3 linked regions of the Notamacropus eugenii genome follow. The protein of the gene in region 1 purifies or fractionates together with the protein of each later gene. This does not show direct contact. Links are inferred from orthologs where the notes say so. Each region holds a gene or a part of one and is shown in the gene's direction. Other genes may lie near its edges.

Region 1 (7,409 bases):
TTCTGGGAAGAGTCCAAACTGCAGGGGATGTAGCAGGTTGGGAAGGGGGAGGGAGGATACTATATAGGGCTGTGGCAGAGATCTGAGGATTTCTTAGAATGTCCGTGCCACTCTACTTTGTTCAGAAGGGAGCTGCTACTCTTATTTATGGCTTTGTGGGCTCTTTCAAATTCTTTGTGCTTTCTGCATTTTTTATTAGGTAAAATTAAAACTGTACTCTATCTGATATACACTTATTGGTTTGTGTGTTTATATGAGAACTGGGCCCCTTGTTACCTGCATTTGTGGAAACTTAGGCATGGCCTATTTATAAATGATATATGGAGAGTTTACCACGGTAAACTGGATGGAGGCAATGAGCCAGAGAAAATAACCTTTAGGGGTCAGCCCTAGGACCTGTGAACCCAGGGCTTTTGGGGGGTGGGCAGACAGGGTCTGGATTGTATCTGAGTTTGAGAAGCAATGTTCTACGCCACTCAACACCCCCAACTTAAAAAAGAGAAAGACAGGACAGGCAGGGCCAAGGACAAATACAGAAGAAAAATTCCCAGTGAACCAGAAATTAAGAATAAGGAGGCATTTTTGACCTTTTGTTCCCACTTTTGTCTTATCCAGTAAGAAAATATATGAATGTTTGAGTTGGCAGCTTTGAAGGTTCGTCAGTGCATGACCCCTTGCCCCATAAGCATCATCTTCCTTTTCTCCATTGCACCGGATAGCACAAACTCAGAAGGTTCAAGATTAAGACAGACCAGAACAAAGTAGCCTGTTACAAAGCAGGTTCAGGTGAAGGCCTCTCCTGGAGGGCGGTCATTGATCTGACTGGGCAAGTAGGTCGGAATGTTGAAGGTAAAAAAAACCTTTGCTCAGATGGTGCCCTCTGCTCATGATCAAAGAGCCATTTGTTTGAAAAAGAGCAGATTGCCTACTTGGTAGAAGTCCTGAGGCAGCCTAAAATTTGACCCAGAGCTGCATGAGGAGGTGTGGTTTCTGGGAATAAGGAAGTGATAGTCTTTTTTGATACAGGTCATGGCTAGGCCACAGCTGGACACACATGTTCCATTCTGGGCATTCATCACTGGGCAGGATAGCTAGGGATGGTGGGGAGGCCTTGGTTCCATGTCTCATGAGGATCTGCTAGAAAAATGAAGAAGAGAGGGCTGGGGGATGTAAGAGCTTTTTTCAGGTGTTTGAAGGGCTGGTCTATGGGGGAGAAATCAGAAATGTTCTAAATGGCCCAGAGGCAGAACTAGGGAGTAGTGAATGAAAAGGCAAGTGGAGGCTTGATGTAAGAAACTTTCTAACAGTTGGAGCCACCCCAAAGAAGAATGGGTGGCTGCTTCCATCCCTGGAAGTCTTCAAGCTGCAGCTAGACAGTCATTCACTTCCTATGAGATGAGGGGATGTCATTTCTTCTAGCATAAAGGTTGAGCTTTCTCCCAACATTATCCCTTTCCTCTATTCTCCGAAGTTCTCCGTGACCTCCCCTGGAGTTGAATGACTCTAGGCTGATTCCAGGTCAACCTAGCTGGCACTGGCTGGCCATTGGCCCTGGGGTTGGGGTGGCAGGTAGTAAAGATTTAATTAGAGATGCCCAGAAACCTGGGATTCTCTGTGGAGACAGGTAAAGGGGAGACCGCAGATCCAGGCCAGGATTCCAAAGAGCAGATACAGCCTGACATGCATTCCAATTATGGGCCTTTTGACTGTATGTAAATGAATCTGGTGGAAAAAAAACATGGAGGCCACATGCTCCATGATGTCTCTCCACTCCTGGTTATAGATTATCTGGACCTGAGAAGTGAGGCAAGGCCTGCAGAACAGTAGTCTGAAAGGCCTTTGATGTTGGTCAGTCATTTTCAGTCATATGTAACTCTGTGACCCCACTTGAAGTTTTCTTGGCAGAGATACTGGAGTGGTTTGCCATTTCCTTCTCTAGCTCATTTTACAGATGAGGAAACTGAGGCAGAGTTTAAATGACCTGCCCAGGGTCAAACAACTAGTAAATGTCTGAGGCTGAATTTGAACTCAAGTCTTCCTAAAAACACCTCTTGCTCTGTCCACTGTGCCACCTAGCTGCCCCCTTTCCCAGTGCGTCTTTCAAAACAACAAATACAAGTAGTCTAGATAAGGATAAATACAGGAAGCTTTCATGTTGTGTTCAAAGGTTCTTAGGAATTCATCCATTATTCTAGCTGTTTCTGTCTACTGTTTACTTTGACTGGCAGGTCAGACTATTACTGGTGGAAATATACCATGTGTGTCATATGTTCCTCTTTCCCTCACAGTCTGTATTTACTGAGAACTTATTTTGTAATCAGGCCTTTGAGGATCAGTATGATTGGGTGTGCAGGCTGAGCAGACCCAGGCCCCTGTATCTGGAGCAGAGGCAGTACACTAATATAAGAATTCAGAATGGCTGATGAAGATCTGAACCTGCAGCCCCCTCTTACCTAGGAAGCCTGCCTGTCAATCTCTGTGCTCACCCTAGCATCAGGGCATTCATTAAAGACTCTTCTCCCTATGTCTACCTCCAGATAAGAATTCCAAAGCGTAGACCAACTCCTTCTGCCTACTATTTGCACTCTGACACCAAAGAGCAGAGATACAGCACAGTGAAGAAAGTCTGAGTGTTGTACTCTGAGAGGAGTGAGTGTGGCTAATGAATCCCTTTTATCATAATGATAAAAGCTAGAATTTAAATAGCCCTTTAAGGTTTGCATATCACTTTACAAATATTATCTCATTTGACCCTCACAACAATCCTGCAGAGTAGGTGTTATTTTTACAATTGAGGAAACTAAAGCAGACACAGGTTAAGTGACTTGTCTAGTCACTGACCTAGCAAATTCATTCCTGGGTCTTATCAATAAATCCTGTAGCTAGATCAGCTTAGTGTGAGGCCTCTTAACAATGATCATGGTCCTAATAAAAATATCAGACATTTGTAGTCCTTTCTTCCTTTCTGCACTGGGCCTCCTTTGCCCTGAGCCATGGCCTTGACATCCAACAGAGGTCAGCATGTCTGCTGTTTGAAATTCTTGGGGCTCTGCAACAAAGACCACTCCTTGACCTTGATCAGAAGGGGCATTTTGGGACTTCATCCCCAACCTGAAAATAGGAGAGTGTCAGCACCTTTTACTACAATGCCAGGAGTCCCCAGGCTGCCACGTGCGGGCACCCAGCCTTGGGAGTGGGGCTGTTTTGCTGCCAGTACGAGTCCAGAAATTAACAAGTCAACATCATTGGATTCCTAGCCCCTTTCATCAATAACTCCTCTTTTTTTTTCTGCCACAGGAAGATAAACGATCTGTGGGTGATTGTAGCTGCACACTTCTACAAAAACTTCATAAATTTCAGAAGGAGAGTATGGGAAATACCCCAGGCTCTGGGCATAGAGTGACTCCAGCGACAGTGGTGGGGGTCTGGGCCAAACTGCCTCCGGCCTGAGTGTTATATTCCCAGGCGGCTGGCTATAGGTCTCCAGTCGGCAGAGGAATCTGATGCCTTAGCTTAGGACCTTTCCCAGTCATGGGATGCCCGCTGGACAGCCTTAGATGGTTTGTGAGGGGGCCCTGTGCATATTCTGATTTTGAGTTACCATTCTCCCAGCTCTCAACATTCGGGATCCCAGAAGTCACCGACCTTTGTCAAGACGGGACCAAGCTTCCACGTAAACTAAAATCTGTTTTAGCATTTTGTTCACATTCTCCCACAGGCCCAACTCATCTCTCCGGGAGCCTCTTCTCTCTCTGGCTTGGAAGGGGCCCCGGGCTGGCCTTTGGTCCAGAGACGTGAAAGGCCAGAAACCACAGCTCGGGCAGCGCCCACCGCGCTCTCTCCTCGAGGGAAGGCCATTTGGAGAGGAGTAAGTGATAGTGTTGACGGATGGAAGGAAAGGGCCACTGAAGCATTTTCTTTAAGGTACAAGAGGGAGTTCAGAAGGAAACAGAGGAGCCAGATAACCTGGAGGGCAAGGTATTAACCGAGGCCGCAGGCTTGGACGAGATGGGGGCGGGGCTCGGGTCCTTGTTCCGATTGGCCCTGGGGATCTGAGGTAGGACCAATCAGAAGGTGTTGCGGCGGGGCGGGACGGGGAGGCAAGTTTAGCGGGCTAGGAGGGAGAATGCCCAGAGTGTAGGGGGAGCACAGAAACCCTTTCCTCGACTCCCCCTGCCCGCTCTTAGCATCGGGGAGAGACGCACGTGACGCTTCCCAAACAGGCCGTCCTGTTTGACACAAAAATATCCAGTACGTGTCTCAGCCGTCAGTGCCTTCACAGAGTCGAGCCCCAGAGCCAGCAGGGAGACATTCAGAGCATCTTGCGCATGCGGGGCGGGAGGGTGAGAGGAAACCAGCGCATGCGTGCTGGTGCGGCGTGGCCCTCCTCGAAGCCATCTTTGAGAAGGGCTCCAGGCCGGCTCCGAGCACTTCTGCGGGACAGTGACGGTCGATACACGAGCATTTATTGAGCCGTCTTTGCTAAGCGATGAAGACATAAAGAAAGGCAAAACCACGGCGTGTCCCAGCCCTCCAGGGACAGCCGATCCCCTCCCAAACCCCCGCCTGAGCTCACGGCCTCCCAGCTTGGTCGCCCCTCCTTCACCGGAAGTGATGTGCCAGCTCCCAGCAGGCTGTTCGGTGGCGGGAACCGGGAGCCTGGGCGCCCAGGAGTGAGAGGAGACGTAAGGGACCAGGACCGGGAGCGGGCAGCGGCCTCCCGACAGCAACCCCGGGCCCGGTCGTTCAGCGCCTGTCCAGGGAGGGCCGGAGGGCAACCGCCGCCGCCCTCGTCCTGTGTGCGTGACTCGGCTCCCCGGGTCTCCAGCTCCACTATCGGGTGGTCCCCGGGGCGCGTGCCCGGAGGCTCCGGACAGATCCCGCCTCCCGGCCTTCCCCGGGCAGGGCCAAGCGGCCATGCAGGCTTTCCTCAAGGGGCCCGCCTCCCTCAGCACCAAGCCGCCGCCCACGAAGGATCGAGGAGCCGCAGCCCCCGCGGGCAGCAGCGCCGAGAGCCGCCGGGCCAAGCCCGTGCCTTGGGTGGAGAAATAGTAAGAGCCCCGCCCCCCCCCCGCCGTCACGGCCCCGCGTGGGCCCGGCCGAGCCGACTCTGGGCCGCTGGTGGCCGGAAGCGGCACTTTACCAGGCCGGCAGAGCCGCACTTTCCCGTAGGCTGGCTCGCCCTGGGGTGCTGGGCCCCTGGCGCCGCCCTCGGCGTGGACATACGGGCCCCGGGGCCCCCCACGAGGCCGTGCCCCGCCGGCCGGGGCTATGTCGGTGTAATCCGGGCCCCTGGGATCGCCTGGCGGGGCACCAGCGCTGTGGCCGCCCCTGCCCAGCTCCTGGGACCGCGCTACTACACTGCTTTTGGACAAGACGTCTCACCTGATTTTTGTAGTAAGGGCGGCCTGGTGGTGCACAGGGCAGAGCACCGGTCTGCATCCAGAAAGGCCTCAGACACTCACCAGCCATGTGACCGTTTGCCTCAGTTTCCTCGACTGTAAAATGAATTTTGCCCTCAAAATCCCACGTGGGTTCCTAAAGAGTCAGGCACAAACTGATCGACAAAGGCTGGAAAAACCTTTTACTTTGATGTTACAATGTGACAGACCAACTAGTTAGAAAGTATAAGGAAATCCTCGTCCCTGCACATCTCTTTGTAACAGTAACAATACATCCCTGTCCTTCCTGGCTCCACTTCCTAAGTCTGCCTCTGCCCCTTCTGTTAGTACGTATCAAGGACTGTAATTGACTTCTTAGCAACTACTAACACATGGAACTTTTCAGTGTCTCTGCTAACAACAAAATGCCAATTTTTTTCTCCCCAGCCGTCCCAAATGTGTGGATGAAGTTGCTTTTCAGGAAGAGGTAGTTGCAGTGTTGAAGAAATCTTTACAAGGAGCAGACGTGAGTTGAACCTTGTTTAACTTATCATTTGGAAATGTTTTCCTAGAGTGGGATTGATACTTCTCATACCAAGTCCTTGGCATCATCAGAACAATTTACACTTCCATGTAGCTGTGTCCAATGATCACCATGAGAACACAGATAACCCAGGCATTTGCGTTGATCACGCAACCGTCCCGTCAAGAACCCCAGAACAGACGCACACACCATTTACACCATTTCTGTCTCTGTTCAGGTTGTCCGACCACCGGCTCCTCCTACTGAATGTCCAAATTCCCAGCCAGTGGGTGGTGGCTCCATGGGATCCAGCTTGACAGTTCCATCGATTATTAATCGCTAGCATTTGTGTAGCACCCACTATGCGTTGGGTATTGTGCCAAGTCCTTTACAAACAGTGTTTCATTTGGTCCTCACCACAGTCTTGGGGTTTAGAGCACACTCTTCATAACCATAGCTTTCTAAGATATTGTCTCACCTGATGACACTCTTTCTCTCCACCCTAGGGCCTGGCCCATGGTATGTATTTATTAACTAGTTGTGGGTTGAGAGAATGACAGGACAGCATTTCCTGGGAGTATCTACCAGCTAACTTCAGGATTTGGGTTGGAGTGTAGTTTGATTCAGCACGACTTTAGTGAATGCCCAATCTATGTACAGAGCCAAACCAGGGCTTCTGCGTAGATACTAAGAAGTCTAGGAATAGTTATTTCACTTGAGAATCTTTCCTTCCAGTTTGGGAGTCAAGACCCACAGAAATGAACGGTGAGACCTAGAGAAGTTGAATGACAGGACACCTAAGGAGTAAGTGGCAGAGCCATAATTAAAACCATGGTCTCGGAGACCATGTCTAGGCAGCAGGTGACATTGCTAAGGGGGAGAGAACATACAGAGACAGGAGACAACAGTTTGTCTGCACTTCAATGTAGCCCTTAAATTTGGATAGGCCTGTCATAGACCTTAGTCTCTTAAATAGACTCTGTTTAAAAAAGTAGACCTCTGGTTCAGCAATAAAATGCAACTGAAAAGTGTAAGTAAGCATTACTTTATGTAGTTCCTACTCAGCACAGCTTGTCAGTGCTATTTCTGAATAGCACAGTGAAAGGCCTAAGGGGGAGACTCAGCCCCTGACAGAAGAAGCCAGTTACTGTCTGTTTTCTACCCTCTACCACCCCACATGCTCACCTTCCACAGGGTAGAGCAGGACAGAGAATACCTGGAGGAGGAGCTGGAACACGTGTATTTTGGACTCACTTAGAAGTGAGGGCATTGGAAGTAGAGGACAAAGGAGGCAGAGTGATGCCCTTCTTCAGGCCATCACCCGCCACCCCCAAGCATTGAATTGCTTCTCTGTGGGTGGGTGAGTGGAGAAGCTTTAAGTTATTGTGAGAAGTATATCTCACAAAATTACAACCTCAGAATTAGAAGGGACAAAAGCATCCATTTAGTTCAGTTTGTACCTGCTGAGAGGAAGCATGGTGTGATGAAGAGACAGCCGGCCTCAG
Region 2 (6,924 bases), on another chromosome or scaffold:
GAAACTGACTTTGAAGGAAACAATGCAGAACCAAGGTGAAATATAAAATGTCTATAAACAGTGGTTCTGCAAAGTTCACACTTAGTTTTAATGAGTCTAAGTCTCTTAGTCAAGAACAGTAGTTATCACTGACTGGTTTAGTTTATTTTATGTAATTTTTATTTTAGTTTATCTTTTGTCAGCTAGCAAACATTAATTTTCTCTTCTGCCCATTTTCCTCCTTGCTGATGAAAAAGAAAAACAAAACTCTTGTAATACATATGCATAGTAAAGCAAAAACACATTGGTCATATCCAAAATGTATGTCTCATTCTGTACCATGAATCTATCACCCCTCTGTCAGGAGTTGGGTACATGCTTCATCATCAAACCTATGAAACTGTGGTTGATCATTGGATTGATCAGAGTTCTTAAGTCTTTACTTCAGTTCAAGCATGATTTGCTCACACCTCTTATTTTAACTCCGTGTGAACCTGTTTCAAATATGTTTCTCTTGTAAACAACATATTGTTGGATTCTGCTTTCTAATCCATTTTGCTATTCTCTTCTGTTTTATGAGTGATTTCATCCCATTTCCATTGACAGTTGGGATCATTAATTGCATATTTCCTTTCATCCTATCCTTTTATATCTTTCCATGTTTCCCCCACACACATACACACCACACCCCTAATAAGGAGGTAGTGAGAGAGGAGGAATGTGCTCAGCACCAGTGGCCTAGGTTTGGTATAGTCTGCTTCTGCTCTCCTGCCCCTCTTCTCTTTCCTTCACACAGAGCCCTCTCACAGGTTCTCTTTCTTTTTTTTTCTTTTCAACTTCATAATCTGTTCTACCTATCTTAGTGTTTGGTTTGGTTAGGGTTAATCCCTCCCTTAAATACTCTTTATTATCCTTTCTCTCTTTTCCCTTTCCTTCCTGTTACCCTGTTGAGTGAAATGTATTTCTGTGCCCAATCGTGTTTGCATGTTCTTCCCTCTTTTAACCAGTTCAGATAAGAGTATGGGTCAAGTGTTACCTACTTCCTCCAACCTCTTCCTCCTTATTTGTATAGTTTTCTATTCCAGCATCCTGAATACATAATTTTCCTTCTCCTTTCTCTCTCTTTCTCCCCATTCCTCTCCCTCCCCAGTATATTCCTTTTCCCTGTCCTTTCTTCTTCTAAGACTATCAAAACATGACAAAACCTCTTCCAGGCCATCTGGCTTCTTAGACTCCATGGCTCTTGATGAGTTCTGATGGGACACATATATCATCCCCTTATATTAAAATGTAAACAGTTCATCTTTGTTTAGTCCATTATGATTGTTTACTCATATTTCTCTTGACTTCTGTATTTGTATTTTTCCTATACAACTTGATTTTTTTTCCCTCAAGAATGCTTAGAACTCCCCTATTTCATTAAAGATCTATTTTTATCCCTCTAGCATTATGTTTCAGTGGGTAAATTATTCTGTTTGTAAGCCTATATCTTTCCCTTTTTGGAACATCAAATTCCAAGCTCTCCACTCTCCTATAGTGGTAGCTATTAAATTATCTACAACCCTGACTATAGATCCTCAATACCTGAATTCTTTCTTTCTTGTTGCTTGCAGTATTTTTTTATTTTAACCTGAAAATTCTAGACTTTGGATATGGTGTTCCTGGGAATTTTCATTTTTGGTGTTTCCTTTACATAAGGGGACCAGAGGGTTCCATTTTCACTTTGTTCTCTTGATCTAAGAAATCTGGGCAGTTGTCTTTTATGATTTCTTGAAATTTGATCTCTAGACTCTTTTTTGGGTCATGGCTTTCAGGTTTCAATGATTCTCAAATTATCTCATCAATCTGTTTTCCAGGTAAGTTGTTCTGGCTATGAAATGTCTTACATTTTCTCATATTTTTTTAATCTTTTGACTTTGTTTTGATATTTCTTGTTGGTTCAGGGAGTTGTTAACTTCTACTTGGTTCATTCTAATTTTGGGGGAGTTTGTTGCTTGAGTAAGCTTGCGTGTAGCTGTTCATTCCCCTTCTAATTCTTTCTTGTTCTTTTTTTCCATCCCCCCACATTCTCATTTTATTCATGAAAACATCTTTAAAAATATTTTAAAAACATGTTTTAAAAAAAACTATTTGCTTCATATTCCCCATGAATTATAGTTGAACTTGTGCCTAAGCTATGTTTTTCTTTTGTTTTCTCGTAGATGTTCTGGAGTCATTATCTTCTTTTGGGTTTGTGTCCTAAGCATCCTGGTCACCATGACATCTTTTTATGGGAAGATTCTTTTTTTTGTTTGTTTCATCAGCCTTTCAGCCTACTTCTTTACTTCAGACTTTGTTAGGGCAAAGCTCTCATAATTCTGGAAAGAATGTCTGGGTTTAGTCTCTTGGGTCCTGCTACTGCTTTCTTGGAGTGTTGACTATTGAGTAATTGTAGGATCTCAGGGAGCTGCTCAGGCTGGGGACCTGAACACTTTGAGTGGTGCCAAAATCAGGGCAAAGTCTGATCACTGTCGCCTAGTCTGAGCTTGGCAAGTTCCTGGCCTGTGTTTAGATTTGTTCTCGTGTATTTCCTAGATTTTTGTGGAGGAACTATGTTAGGCAGCTCATTGTACGTCCTGATGTGGTTCCTTTTTCTTTCTGTTTTCATCATGGGAAATGAAGGCAGGGTTAGTGCTATTATAACCAAAATAAGATCTTTTTTTAAAATGAGGAGATGAAAATATAAAGAAGTGTACTTCAGATGGAAGTACAAGCAGGGTAGTTTTGAAAATAACTTGTGGAATTGATCATATATCTAAAGAAAAGCAAGCTTAGGAAATGGAGAGTTGCAGTTCCATGGAGAATCCTTTTCTTTTTTATTGGTCTACTGCTGCATATATGGAAATGCCCTTTTTTCTTATTTACATTCAGAATTAAATTTTTTAAAAAATAATAATTTGACTACTATCGGCCACCTAGTTTCATTGGAGGGTTTTCAGTGGGCACGAGATGACTTTCCCAAATGCCTCAGAGATCAAGCTCTTCCATCAGGCTCCCAATTCTTTCAGTCCGAGCTCACACAGCTCTTGATGGGGGGGCCCTGCGCCCAACTCAATACTGATCTCAGGGTGTCGAAAAAGAGAATGAAATCTCTCTCTGAAATATTAACACGATAGAAATCTGCTTTTCCTTCCTTCCGACCGATCGCTTCTCGTAGATGGCCCGCAGACAATCCACTAGGAGGGCACGTAACAAAGACAATGAACAAAACTTCTGCCTCTCTCGGACCTTCCTAACCACCTGAGGGCATGGGAGGAGGGCTGGGTATCGGGCTGCGGGCCACCGACTCCTCTCCGGGATTTCGAGACCTTAAGGCCTTATGCCTTTGCAAGTCCAGCGGGGGAATGCCGGGAGGGGCTTGGGGAGCCTCCCCGCAGCGGCCTGCGCTGTCCCTGCACATCTGTGCTAATTAAAGAGAGCACCCCAAACAGCTTGGGAAGGGCTTTAAATGCCGCGCAGAGGGCTCTGCCATTGACCCGGGGGGATGGGGAGACGCAGGAGCTCCTGAGGAGAGCTGCCCTGCAGGGCTCCGGGCGGCGGCTTCCGTCCTGCCGGGCTGGGGGGCGCGGCGGGTAGAGGGTTGACCCGTCTGGGTCTCCGGGCGGACGCCCCGCAGAGAGCCCGTGGCCAGCCGGCGGGCTTCCTTCCGGAGGGTCCCGGGCAAGGTCCCTTCACTCCTCGGGGCTCAGTTTCCTCCTCCGTAAACGAGGGGATCTGACCGGATGGCTCCGGACTCCCTTCGCTCTCTCAGCCCTTCAGCGGGTGCCCGACCTTCGGACCCCAGAGCGAGGCGGAGTGACTGCGAGGGTCGCCTCCGTTCACGGCGCCGGTTTCTGGCCCTCGCGGGCCGCCATCCACTCCCCGTCCCGGACGTTGCGTAATTGCCCCGCCCCCGCTTCCGGCGCTCCCGGACGGCGCGAAAACCCAATTGACAAGAATCTCTGTCCGCGGAGCTCGGGCCTCCCCAGCCGCCTGCACCCTCCCCCCGCCCTCCCACAGTTCGGACCCCAGTGCAGCCCAGGCGCCCAGACCCTCGAGGGTCGCCCGCTGGCGGGGGGAGGGGGAGACGCCTGCGCACGGCTTCTGGCTTGGGGGTCCCGCGTCCGCGCGCTTTCTGCTGGGGTCTCTTCCCGCGTCCCGCGCTCCCCAGAGCCGGGTCCCGAACGTCATGGTACCCGCGCGCGCCGGCTCCGGATCCGGCGCCGTCCGCTCCTGAGGGCCTGGCAGCCCGGGAGCCGAGCCGGGGACCATGGTCGGGGTGCTGGCCATGGCTGCGGCGGCTCCGGCCCGAGCGCCCGGAAAGGACTTGGACATCCAGGTGAGCCTTGCCCCCTGCCCCAGGCGGGGAGCTCCCCCCCTCCCGGGGCAGCTAGCCCCGGAGCTCTTGGACTGCCCTGGGGGTGGGGCGGGCGCGGAGTACAGTCGAGTCTGGGGGAGGGGGCTGTACCCTTCCTTCCCCCATTGCACTTACAGCAGGTACTTAACAGATGCTCTCTGGGGTCTCAAAGGCCCGTCTGAGGAGGGAACCCCGAGGCCCCGGGTCCGGAGCCGATCTCGATGGTGATGTCCACCACGCGTGGCTCGTGCTTTCTGTGCCTCAGTTTCCTCGCCCATACAATGAGAGCTCCCTTCCACCCCGCAGCTGGGACCCTTCACTCGGTCTGGAGTCTGGATCCCCACCCATCCCCGGTAGCCCCCAGCCCGTCTCTCTGGGGGGCCTTTAATCACGTGGTCTGCCTCCCCCCACCCCACGTTCACCCCTAGACCCTTCCCTCTTAGCCGAGAAGAGGGGCTTCGGCCCCCCAGGGAAGGCTGCGCAGGGCGGTGATCGGGAAAATGACCGAAGCTGCCTTTGCCAGTTTCCCCTTCTTCCACAAATGACAGCTTTGCCAGGAGAACGTCGGCCCGGCGACCAGGGGGTCACCCAGCCAGGTCGTGACGGAAAGCAGTGGCCGAATTTTGTTCTTAGTGAAACATCTCTAGGGAGTTTTGAATTCTGACGGCAACTGAGAGAGAAGCATTTCTTTCCTTCTGTGACTGGAGCAGTCTTTCCGTTTGATCTGTCACACCTGTACGTTTAGTTACATGTAAAATACTTGGCAAGTAATGGTTTTCCTTCTGGTCAACATATGTGAGTTTCCAGACATCAACTTTACTTAGAGATAATTAGAATCAAGCTCAGTGGTTCTCCCCAACTCCCCGTCTTTTGGACTCCCAGCTAGTATTTACACCTTGGAAGAGATGAGACTGGTGAAAAGCAATTTTGGTTTAGAGTTTTGCTTCTTATTAAAAACTCTTTAGGTAAATACTTGAAACAGAACTGTAAAGATTCTCCATGAAACATAAAACAGAAAGTGAGGCACCAATACTGTGGTGTCTGATTTCTGTTAAATATAAGCAGATTACTAATGTATACTAGGCACAAAAAGGATACACGTTACTTCAGAAACCTCCTTTAACACTACTGTGTTGGAAGAAGGTTGGCTACTAGTTCAAAAGACAACAACTTTCAAGACAAATTGGGGCAAATGACTTCCCCTAAAACAGTCCATAAGTCATATAAGTTGCTGTGTTCTAGGTATTTCTAATGTTTTCTTATTTTTCAGATGTAGTTTCCTTATTTGATATACATAAATTAGTAATTTCTATTCTAAAAATATTTTTACTCATTCATTTGTTTATTTAGATAAAAATATTAATTTCTTCTTACTGTTATTATAAGTAGAACTTATATTCTTTTTTTTACATTTTATTTTCCCCTAGTTACATGGTTTTTTTTCTTTTTTAAATTTAAAGCCATGCAAGAAGCAAAGGAAAGAAGATGATGGAGCTTCCTGTAAAACCATTACTGAATATATGTCACCTATAAGGAAAACTGGAGACAAAGTTTTCTCCCCACCAAAATCTAATAACATCTTGGATTATTTTAAAAGGACTTCACCCATAAATGAAAAGTCTTCTATAGCTAAGAAATGCAAGATACAGTCATCTAAACCATTGCATTTTGATGATAGCAAAGAAGGGAAAACACTTTTGAACAATTCCTCCAATTTAGAGCCTAAGTCAAGGGGAAAGAGAATTAATTTATCTCAACAACTTAATGATATTAAAAAATTGGAAAATGAACCCATAATTATTAGTAGTGATGACAGCAGAGAAGAAACAAGCTTAAATAATGTTTTTGTGGGTAGTGACAGTGATACTTCTGGTTTACTTACTCGGAAAAATGTAGAGCCCTTCTCAGAAAGTAGTCAGAGTAACAATAAGCAATCAAGCACAACGTCCTCCCAAAAAGACAGAAAGAAAGTAAACGCTGAACAAAGCATCACAAAAAATGACTGCAAAAAATTAAGGAAAAGGAAGCACAAAGATGATAAAGACCTAACTAGAAATTTATCATTAGAAAAAGAATCCAGCCAACAATCCAAAAAGGAACCCAAGGACAATAAGCAAAAAACAGAACTCAAAACTGGTGAAATTGTGGATTTTGCAAGTGATTCCAGCCCTGGAGTTCATGTGTCTGACACAGCCCAGGTAAATGATAATACGGTAACTGTATCCTATGAAGAATTTTTAAGAAGTCAGGAAGTAAACCCATTGGAGCACATACAAGGACCAAAAATGTCCGATACTCCTGATGATGTTGGTAAAAGTGGGAACACTAGTGAGCCTGAAGGCAGTGAAAGTTCCCAGCAGCTGCCCCTTAAAAAAGTGACTGTTCTTGCACAAATTCATGCTGTGCCACCCAAGCCTATTTCAAGGATTAAAGGGAAAAGGACTCTCAAAATACCATCAATTTTCTTGAAACAAAAGGAAAATGAAATTGGGAATAAACTTCCTGAGCCTGAAAATGAACAGACAGTTCAGAAAAGAAAATCCAATGTAGTTATAGCAGAGGAAGAATTA
Region 3 (7,484 bases), about 250 Mb from region 1:
TTACCAAATATGATTGAAGTGGAGAGAAAAGTTCTAGGTAGGATTCATTATAGTAACATTTTCAAATAATAGTGCAGTTATTCTTTTTTAAACAATTATTCCCTTTTTTAGCAGTGATTTTATTTTTAATTGATTTTTAAAATTCAGAATTTAACAAACACCAAATCAAATAAACATTTCCATATACAAAGTAGAAGAGGAAAGGAGGACTATAAATGATACCATGAGAATCTGTATAATGTATATACAACTTGCTTTTTTCTTCTATTCAGAATGTCAAAATCACAGAAAGGGAAGGCCCCTCAACAGCTCTATAGCCCAATCCATACACATAAAAAAATCCCAACTATAACATATTCAACAAATAGTCCTTCAGCCTTTGTTTGAAGACTTTCAAAGAAGGGTAACTTCTCTAGGAAGTCCAACTCACTTTAATTGTTGGGAAGTTTTCCCAAATATTGAGACTAAATTCACCTTTGTACTACTTTGACTCATTGTTCCTGGCTTTCCTCTCTACCCTCTGGGCTTTAGTCACTCTTCCACATGACAGCCTTTCAAATACTTCAAGGTAACAGTCATATTCCCTTGGAATCTTCTCTTCTCTTACCTAAACATACTCAGTTTCTTCCACTGAGCCTTGTATAGAATGCATTCAAGATGCTACAACATACTGGTTACCCTTCTCTGGAAATTATCCAGATTATCTTTGCTCTTACATTGTGGTGTCTAGAACTCAACCAGATGAGTTCTGAGAAGAGCAGAATGCGGCGGTACTATCATATCCCTATTCCTGAAAGTCACACCACTGTTGAGTCATATTGACCTTGTAGTACACTAAAATTCCTAGATCTTTTTTAAAGCACAATTTCTCTCCATTCATATACTTTATGAAGTGGATTTTTTATGCCCAAGTCCAAAATTTTACATTCATTCCTATTGGATTTCATCTTCTTAGATTCAATCCAAAGTTCTAGCCTTTCCAGATCCTTTGGGAAGCTGACTCTGTCATATACTGTAGTACCTATCTCTCCCATATTTATCTGAAAATTTGATGAAAATGCAATTTATACCTTTTCAAAAGTCATTGATAAAAATCTTGAAAAGTATAAGGTCAAGAGATGCCAAGGGTACTTCACTGTAGATCCCTTGCCACACTGCCATTTGAACAATTAAGTTATTCTTTGAGTCTGGTCATTCAACCAGTTTTGAAATCATCTGATTGTATTATCATCTAGTCCATATCCCTCTATCTTCTTCACAAGAATAGCACATGATACTTTATCAAAAGCTTTGTTAAAATTTAGCTAAACTATATCTATAGTTTTCGTTTCAGCTAATAATAGAGTAAGCTTATCAAAAAAGAAAATATAACTTCCAAAGCTTTCCTGCTAGTCTGTGTTTCCTTTTGTTCTCTTCTGCGTATTTTTAAAAAAGTGTCAATGACTCTCTTTTCTTTCCTATTTTTGGGGGTCAACCCTACTGCTACTCCTCTTTCCCTTGAAAATCTCTCCTCTTCCATTAAAAAAACCGTAACAAAAACACATATAATTAAGCTAAACATTGATTTTATCTGAAAATGTGTATGTATACAGTAAAAATATAGACAACATGTTTCATTCTTGAGTTCATCACCTTTTTGTTACAAGATCTAGCATGCTTCCTCATCAATCCTCTGGAATCATGTTTAGTCACTGTATTGAACCCAATTCTTAAGTCTTTCAAAATTGTTTTTCTTTTACAATGTTGTATAAACTTCAACAGGGTTATTCAAGTCTTTTCATTTTGTGACTCTCAATGGTATTGGTGACTCTCCAGGTCCTAATATAGTCTCTATAGTGCAGTCCTTTGCAGTAGATTTAAAAAACATGGAGAAAATCTTCTGCCTATGTAGTAGAAAGTTAGGTTACCTTGTTCATGTTCAAATGTTCACTGGAATTATTAAGAATCCATTCTCCACATATCTCCTGAAACTTGACCTGACCTCTAGTTTGAGAAACATTATACATATGTATCAAGACAGTAGAGAGGCAGCATTGTGTGATACAGAGGGGTCTACCTTTGGAGTCATGCAGAGCTGGCTTTGATAGCCCTTTGTTTCTTTACCATTGCAAGGCACTAAATCTTTCTACCCCAAACTGATCCTCCAAAACTGTAAATTAGGGATGAGTTACACATCTTCATTTGGTGGAGGAAGTTTCTGCATGGGGATGTCAATACACTGATGAAATCATGGGTTTGGAACAAAAAAACCCCACAAACCTTAAAAACATAACCAATGGAATATACCATCATTCAAGATTATGTACTTTTGGTTAAATCTTAGTGTTCCACATGTTTTTCATGTTATTAGTTACCTTCCAAGTAAAACCCACAGTTATATCTGGGAAAACTTTCTGTTTTTCATTTGTAAGAAGATGGAATACACATTCTTATGATATAAGAAGTCAACTATCAGGCAAGTTCATACATATCCAGATTACTCACACATAATCACATTAAGAAGATTATTTGGACATCAATTTGAATTAAGATAAATGATATACTTAGTACTTAATTTCCTAAATTACAATGCATGAACTCTAATAGTGATAGATTGTGACCTAATGATTCTTTTTATGCATAAATAGATTATACAGTTGCTGTTTATTGGTTTGGATCTGCAGTCACCACAAACACAGAAAATGACAAGCTGGCTAATCAACTTTTTCTATAAGGAAAATGCTCTAATAAACAGATAACATGCTAATATTCATCCAGAGGACAGGAAGTTACAATTATTGTTGCAGAATGAAAATTCCAAAATGAATACAAATTCTCAGTTGTTTCTGTTTTTTGAATTTTTAAATTCTGTAAATGTGACCTATTCTGAAAGGAAAGAGGACTTCAAGTGGTTGTAGATAAGTTTTATCTTTATTATACTGATACTTTCACTGAGGCAGAGGCATTTACACACAAAGAACTTACACTGCTCATTTCAGTTAATTTGACACTAAAACACTAATTGAACCACTTGTAAAGGGAAATCAGAGTTCAATATTTATCTGTTGTGTTCTAATCATTTGACAGTTATTTCAAAAGGGCAATGCTTTCCCTTTCTCTGCATATTTTATGGAAATAAGGGATTTTATTACTATTTATTGTTTATATTTCCTATTAAAGGCAAGGTTCTGCACCAATATTTTTATTTTCACAGATAAACGCATACTAATTGCACTGAGTTCTGGAACATAAAGTCTCTTCAATAAAATCTTGAATTACATGCATACAAACTGGTTGCAGTATTTAACCCAGGATCTATGTCTTAACATAGCATAAAAGACTCATCTCCATGAGTTCAAATTTTGCCTCCGACACTAGCTGTGGGACTGTGGACAATACACTTAATCCTGTTTGTCTCCGCTTCCTCCTCTGTAAAATGAGCTGGAGAAGGAACTGGAAAACCAGTCCAGTATCCTTGCCAAGAAAACCCCAAATAAGGTCAGAAAGAGCTGGACATGACTGAATGACAACAACATTCAGACTGCAGGTCCAGTGCTCTATCTATTAGGCACTGCTAACATACCCCTTCTATCTTAGGGTACATGCCTAGTAATGGAAACTCTGGGTCCAGGAGTAGGATAGCAATTTTTTTTTTTTTGCTTAATTCCAAATTGCTTTCCAAAATAATTATACCGATTCTAAGCATCATTAACAATGCTAGTGCCAGTTAGCGTCTGGGCATCTTCACCCTTTTCTTGGAACGTCTTTCCCCTCTTCTCCCCCTTTTGGTTTTCCTGGCTTCCTTCAAGTTATAGCTGAAGTTCTCGGGGTGCATCCGCTGGGGGCTTGCCAAGCCCTTTTCAGACACCTCCGCCATCTACCTGGTACTCAGCTCCCACCTGCGGAGGCCACACCCTGATAGAGGAGTCTGGGCAGAGAGGCTAAGCCAGGGGGAGGGGCACCACGCTGGGGAATTAGGGGGCGTCTAGCCCCAGCCTCGGGCACTGGGCGGATGAGCGCACTGGAAGGGGGGGAAGGCTGAGCACTCTGCCTCCCTTAAGTCCAACGAGGCCGCAGTCCAGGCCTCACCCACCCGACAGCGTGCTGGGAGGGGAGGACAGCCCAGGACTGCGGCCTTCCGCAGGCAGACTCCCCCGGCCTTCCGGCTGCTTCCTGCCCCGGGGATCTCCACTTTATTCCCTCCGCCTCTGGTTTGTGGTCCTGGGGCTTGCACGTGGTCTCCGCCTGGACTCCGAGCTCCCTTTCCTTGGTGGCCCCGGAGCTCAGCACGCTACCTGGCACACAGGAAACCCTTCATAAATGTTTGTTGCCAGAGACTCTCCTGGTACACTATACGTAGTTTGTACGTTCATAATTACTCGATTCATATATTTGAACGTAAGATCCCTGAGGGCAGGGCCCAAGACTGCTGCCTAGCCCCCCTCCGCCCCAGTGCGCTTGCGCGGAGTCCCGGGCTAGCCAAGAGTTAGAGGCCAGTCTCGCGAGCTCACCGCGAGCGTACGCAGCGCGCTCCTACGTCATCACGCGGCGCCGCCGTCCCAGCCCCTATTTCGCGGGAGAACTTGTTGGCGCGAATGTAGCCCGAACCTTGTTAAGGGTCTTCCGCCGCCGTTGGCCGCTCTGCCCCAGTGTCCCCCGCCGCCCGCTCTCCGGACAGTTATGGTGAGCAGTGGAGCTTCTGCCACCGCGCCTTCCTTCCCCTCCCCCGGCCGGCGGGCGGACTGGGGGCATTGGTGTGTGGGGCAGCGGGGACGGAGTCGGGGGAGCCCCAGGGCAGGGGGGTGATTCGTGAGGAGGGCAGGACCCCCGACCTTCCCTCCACCCCTGGCCGGGGCCCTTCTCCAGGGCCCCCACCCTTGGGCCGGAGGGGGAGGCGGGGAGCGGAATGGAATTTGGAGGCGCCCCCTCTTTGGGGCACAGGGCTGTTGCTGTTAGGCGGGAGTTTTGCGCCCCCCCCCAGGGTGGGGAGGGGGAGGAGGTTTTTTTTTCTTACGGGGCGGGGAGGAAGGATGGATTTTGTCCTTTGGATCCCAGCTTCTTGGGGGGGGGTCCCCTAAGCCTCCGCGTAGGCAGCTTGTTGCCCGGGGATAACGGGGCAGGCACTGCTCTCCGGCTCGGCTTCCTCCCCTGCAGAACGAGGACGTTCCCAACGTTAGTAGCACCCCCTCCCAGGTTTGTTCCGAGCATCTATTGAAATAACGTGTGCGGAGGGCTTGGCAGAACCCTCAACAGGGCCGCGGAAATGCTGACTCCTGACGCTTGTTGTTTCGTTCGTAGTACGGCCGTCATCGGTAACACGGTAACACCACTGACAAACCCAACAGCAGCTAGCGTTCCTTCCTGCCCTCCCTACTCAGTGCTGAGGACACAGGGAGGAGCCAGGAGACAGCAGGCAGCCCTGGGAGCTCCCTCGTGCCGCTTGGTGTTGGGCTTTTGTGGCTGGGCTGCTCGGGCCATCGTAGGAAAAATCAGTGTTGACATGATGTGTTCTTGGAAAAGTGGGTAGAAACTCAGTAGGTTGTGTTGTGGTTACCAGAAACAAAGTGGACGGCCGCGATCCCATCTCATTATCCAGGTTCGTGGTTGAGAGCTGGTAGCAGCGAAAGAGATGATTTTGACCGCTTTTAGAAAAAAGGGAAACTGAGGAATAGAGAAACTGGTTAGGTGTTTGCCCCAGTGGAGACCTAGTAAGTAGCAGAACTGGCATTGGAACTCAGGTCTTCCGGCTCTGAGTCCGGTTTTCCTTCCACTATACCCTCTTTGAAACTTGACATCATGCTTAAAAAAATTAACTCATAAATCTGTGTATACTATGTAGTGTATATAGTGTATAGATAGTATATAGTATAGATAGTATATTATACCATCTATGAATATACTATCTATACACTATATACTATGAAACTATGTTGTATATACTATACCATCTATGAAACAGTCACACGCTTGGCAAAAGAGGGTTGTCGCATGACTCCACTCAGACAGTAGTAGCTGTTAAAACATTTTAATTTAGAAAGTGAACTTATAAAACTCCCTGAAGTTAAAAAAAAACTATCTGATGCTGCCAGGTATTCCACAGCTCATTTTTCAACATGCCAATTTTTCTGAGGTAAAAGAATAATTTATATATAAACACTTTACTAGAATGAGAAGCTTTGTCCATTCCAATGCTTGGATTTCTTTTTGAAAAAAGAGTAAACTTAACTATTAAATGATCAGCACCACTTTTTTTTAAAAGTAAATTTTATTGCTACTTTTTTTGTATCCCCTATATTTCTTTTTTTTACTCAGTGCTCCTATTTATACAGTGCTCTAAGGTTTATAGACCCTTTTATATATGTTGTCTCATTTCAATAAGCAGTATTTATTAGGTCAATAATTTTGCCTGTTTATCTCTTGAATTCCCTTGTTTCTGCCGAATATCTTTTCATTTGTCTTTAGTGACATTATCTTAAAGTCCTGAAAGTGATAATGTTTCTTTAAGAGTGAAGAAAATCAGGTCCTCAGAAGGAGATACATCACTTTTGTTGTCTGCTGTATCTTTCTCCCCTTCTCCTTTCAAAGAGCGAAACACAGTACAGCAAAGTTAGCAGACATATGGAAAAAAAAGTATGGCATCATCTTCAGTGTTCCATTCTCCATAATCCCAAGCCTCTGGCACAGAGTGGGAAGGCAGGAGTCTTCTCATAACTATGTTTGGAGGTCGCTATTATCCTTTTCACAGATTTCAGTTAGTCAAGGAGCCCCGTGTGCTAGCTAGCTGCTGTGTTAAGTATGAAAATAGAAAGAAAGGCAAAATCACTTCCTGCCCTTGAGGTGGTCACATTTTTTTAAAAAAGTGGTTTTTTTTATCTTTTGCTTTTGCATCTTCTAGATTCTGTTACATTTATGTATCACAATTTGTTAGGTATTCCTCAGTTCATTGGCATCTGTTTTGTTTCCAGTTCTTTACTAAGACAAAGTGTTGCTATAAATTTTGATGTATATGGAATCTTTTTTGTCAGTGAGCAAGGGAGATCATATTCTAAAGTTTGTTATTTTTATTGTGTTTTATTATGTATTGTAAGCATTGTTTATTGCTTTTCTGATTCTATTTACTTCTCTTTGCATTAGTTTCTGCAAGTCTTCCCGTGCTTCTCTGTATTGATCATATTCACTATTTCTTACAGTATACCAATAGTTCATTACAGTCATATAATCATCACTATCTTTTGAAGTATACTTTCCCAAATGATATGCTTTATATTGCATTGTAGAATATATCATGGAAGATAATTTTGAGGGATGTTGTAGAGCCCAATGATGTTAGCAGTCTGATAGAAAAGATTAGCATACTGACATAAATTTGGGTTTAGTTTTCTTATTGAAGCTCTTTTCTTTTGATGCTCGTTTATTTGTTTTCTTATTGTTTGTACCTTTTTAAAAGGGAGATAATAGCAAATTGGTCTATTAAATAAGATTTTCAGTTGCATATGAATTTATCT

What was found. The genes of interacting proteins can lie anywhere in the genome.
Region 2: the proteins of RFC4 (region 1) and ATAD5 purify together in Homo sapiens (affinity purification with mass spectrometry; 5 studies listed by BioGRID and IntAct, counting the BioPlex papers as one, with this or other methods). This does not show direct contact. The link is inferred for Notamacropus eugenii from reciprocal best matches to the Homo sapiens genes RFC4 and ATAD5.
Region 3: the proteins of RFC4 (region 1) and RFC1 fractionate together in Homo sapiens (co-fractionation; 7 studies listed by BioGRID and IntAct, counting the BioPlex papers as one, with this or other methods). This does not show direct contact. The link is inferred for Notamacropus eugenii from reciprocal best matches to the Homo sapiens genes RFC4 and RFC1.

What each region holds. Positions count from the first base shown.
Region 1 is NC_092877.1:340,821,022-340,828,430, reverse strand, and holds the start of RFC4 (replication factor C subunit 4), read left to right. Parts: upstream 1-4,396; 5' UTR 4,397-4,917; coding exon 4,918-5,051; intron 5,052-5,828; coding exon 5,829-5,907; intron 5,908-7,409. UniProt on the Homo sapiens protein: Subunit of the replication factor C (RFC) complex which acts during elongation of primed DNA templates by DNA polymerases delta and epsilon, and is necessary for ATP-dependent loading of proliferating cell nuclear antigen (PCNA) onto primed DNA.
Region 2 is NC_092873.1:311,746,729-311,753,652, reverse strand, and holds the start of ATAD5 (ATPase family AAA domain-containing protein 5), read left to right. Parts: upstream 1-3,912; 5' UTR 3,913-4,267; coding exon 4,268-4,336; intron 4,337-5,814; coding exon 5,815-6,924. UniProt on the Homo sapiens protein: Has an important role in DNA replication and in maintaining genome integrity during replication stress.
Region 3 is NC_092877.1:93,500,996-93,508,479, reverse strand, and holds the start of RFC1 (replication factor C subunit 1), read left to right. Parts: upstream 1-4,472; 5' UTR 4,473-4,659; coding exon 4,660-4,662; intron 4,663-7,484. UniProt on the Homo sapiens protein: Subunit of the replication factor C (RFC) complex which acts during elongation of primed DNA templates by DNA polymerases delta and epsilon, and is necessary for ATP-dependent loading of proliferating cell nuclear antigen (PCNA) onto primed DNA.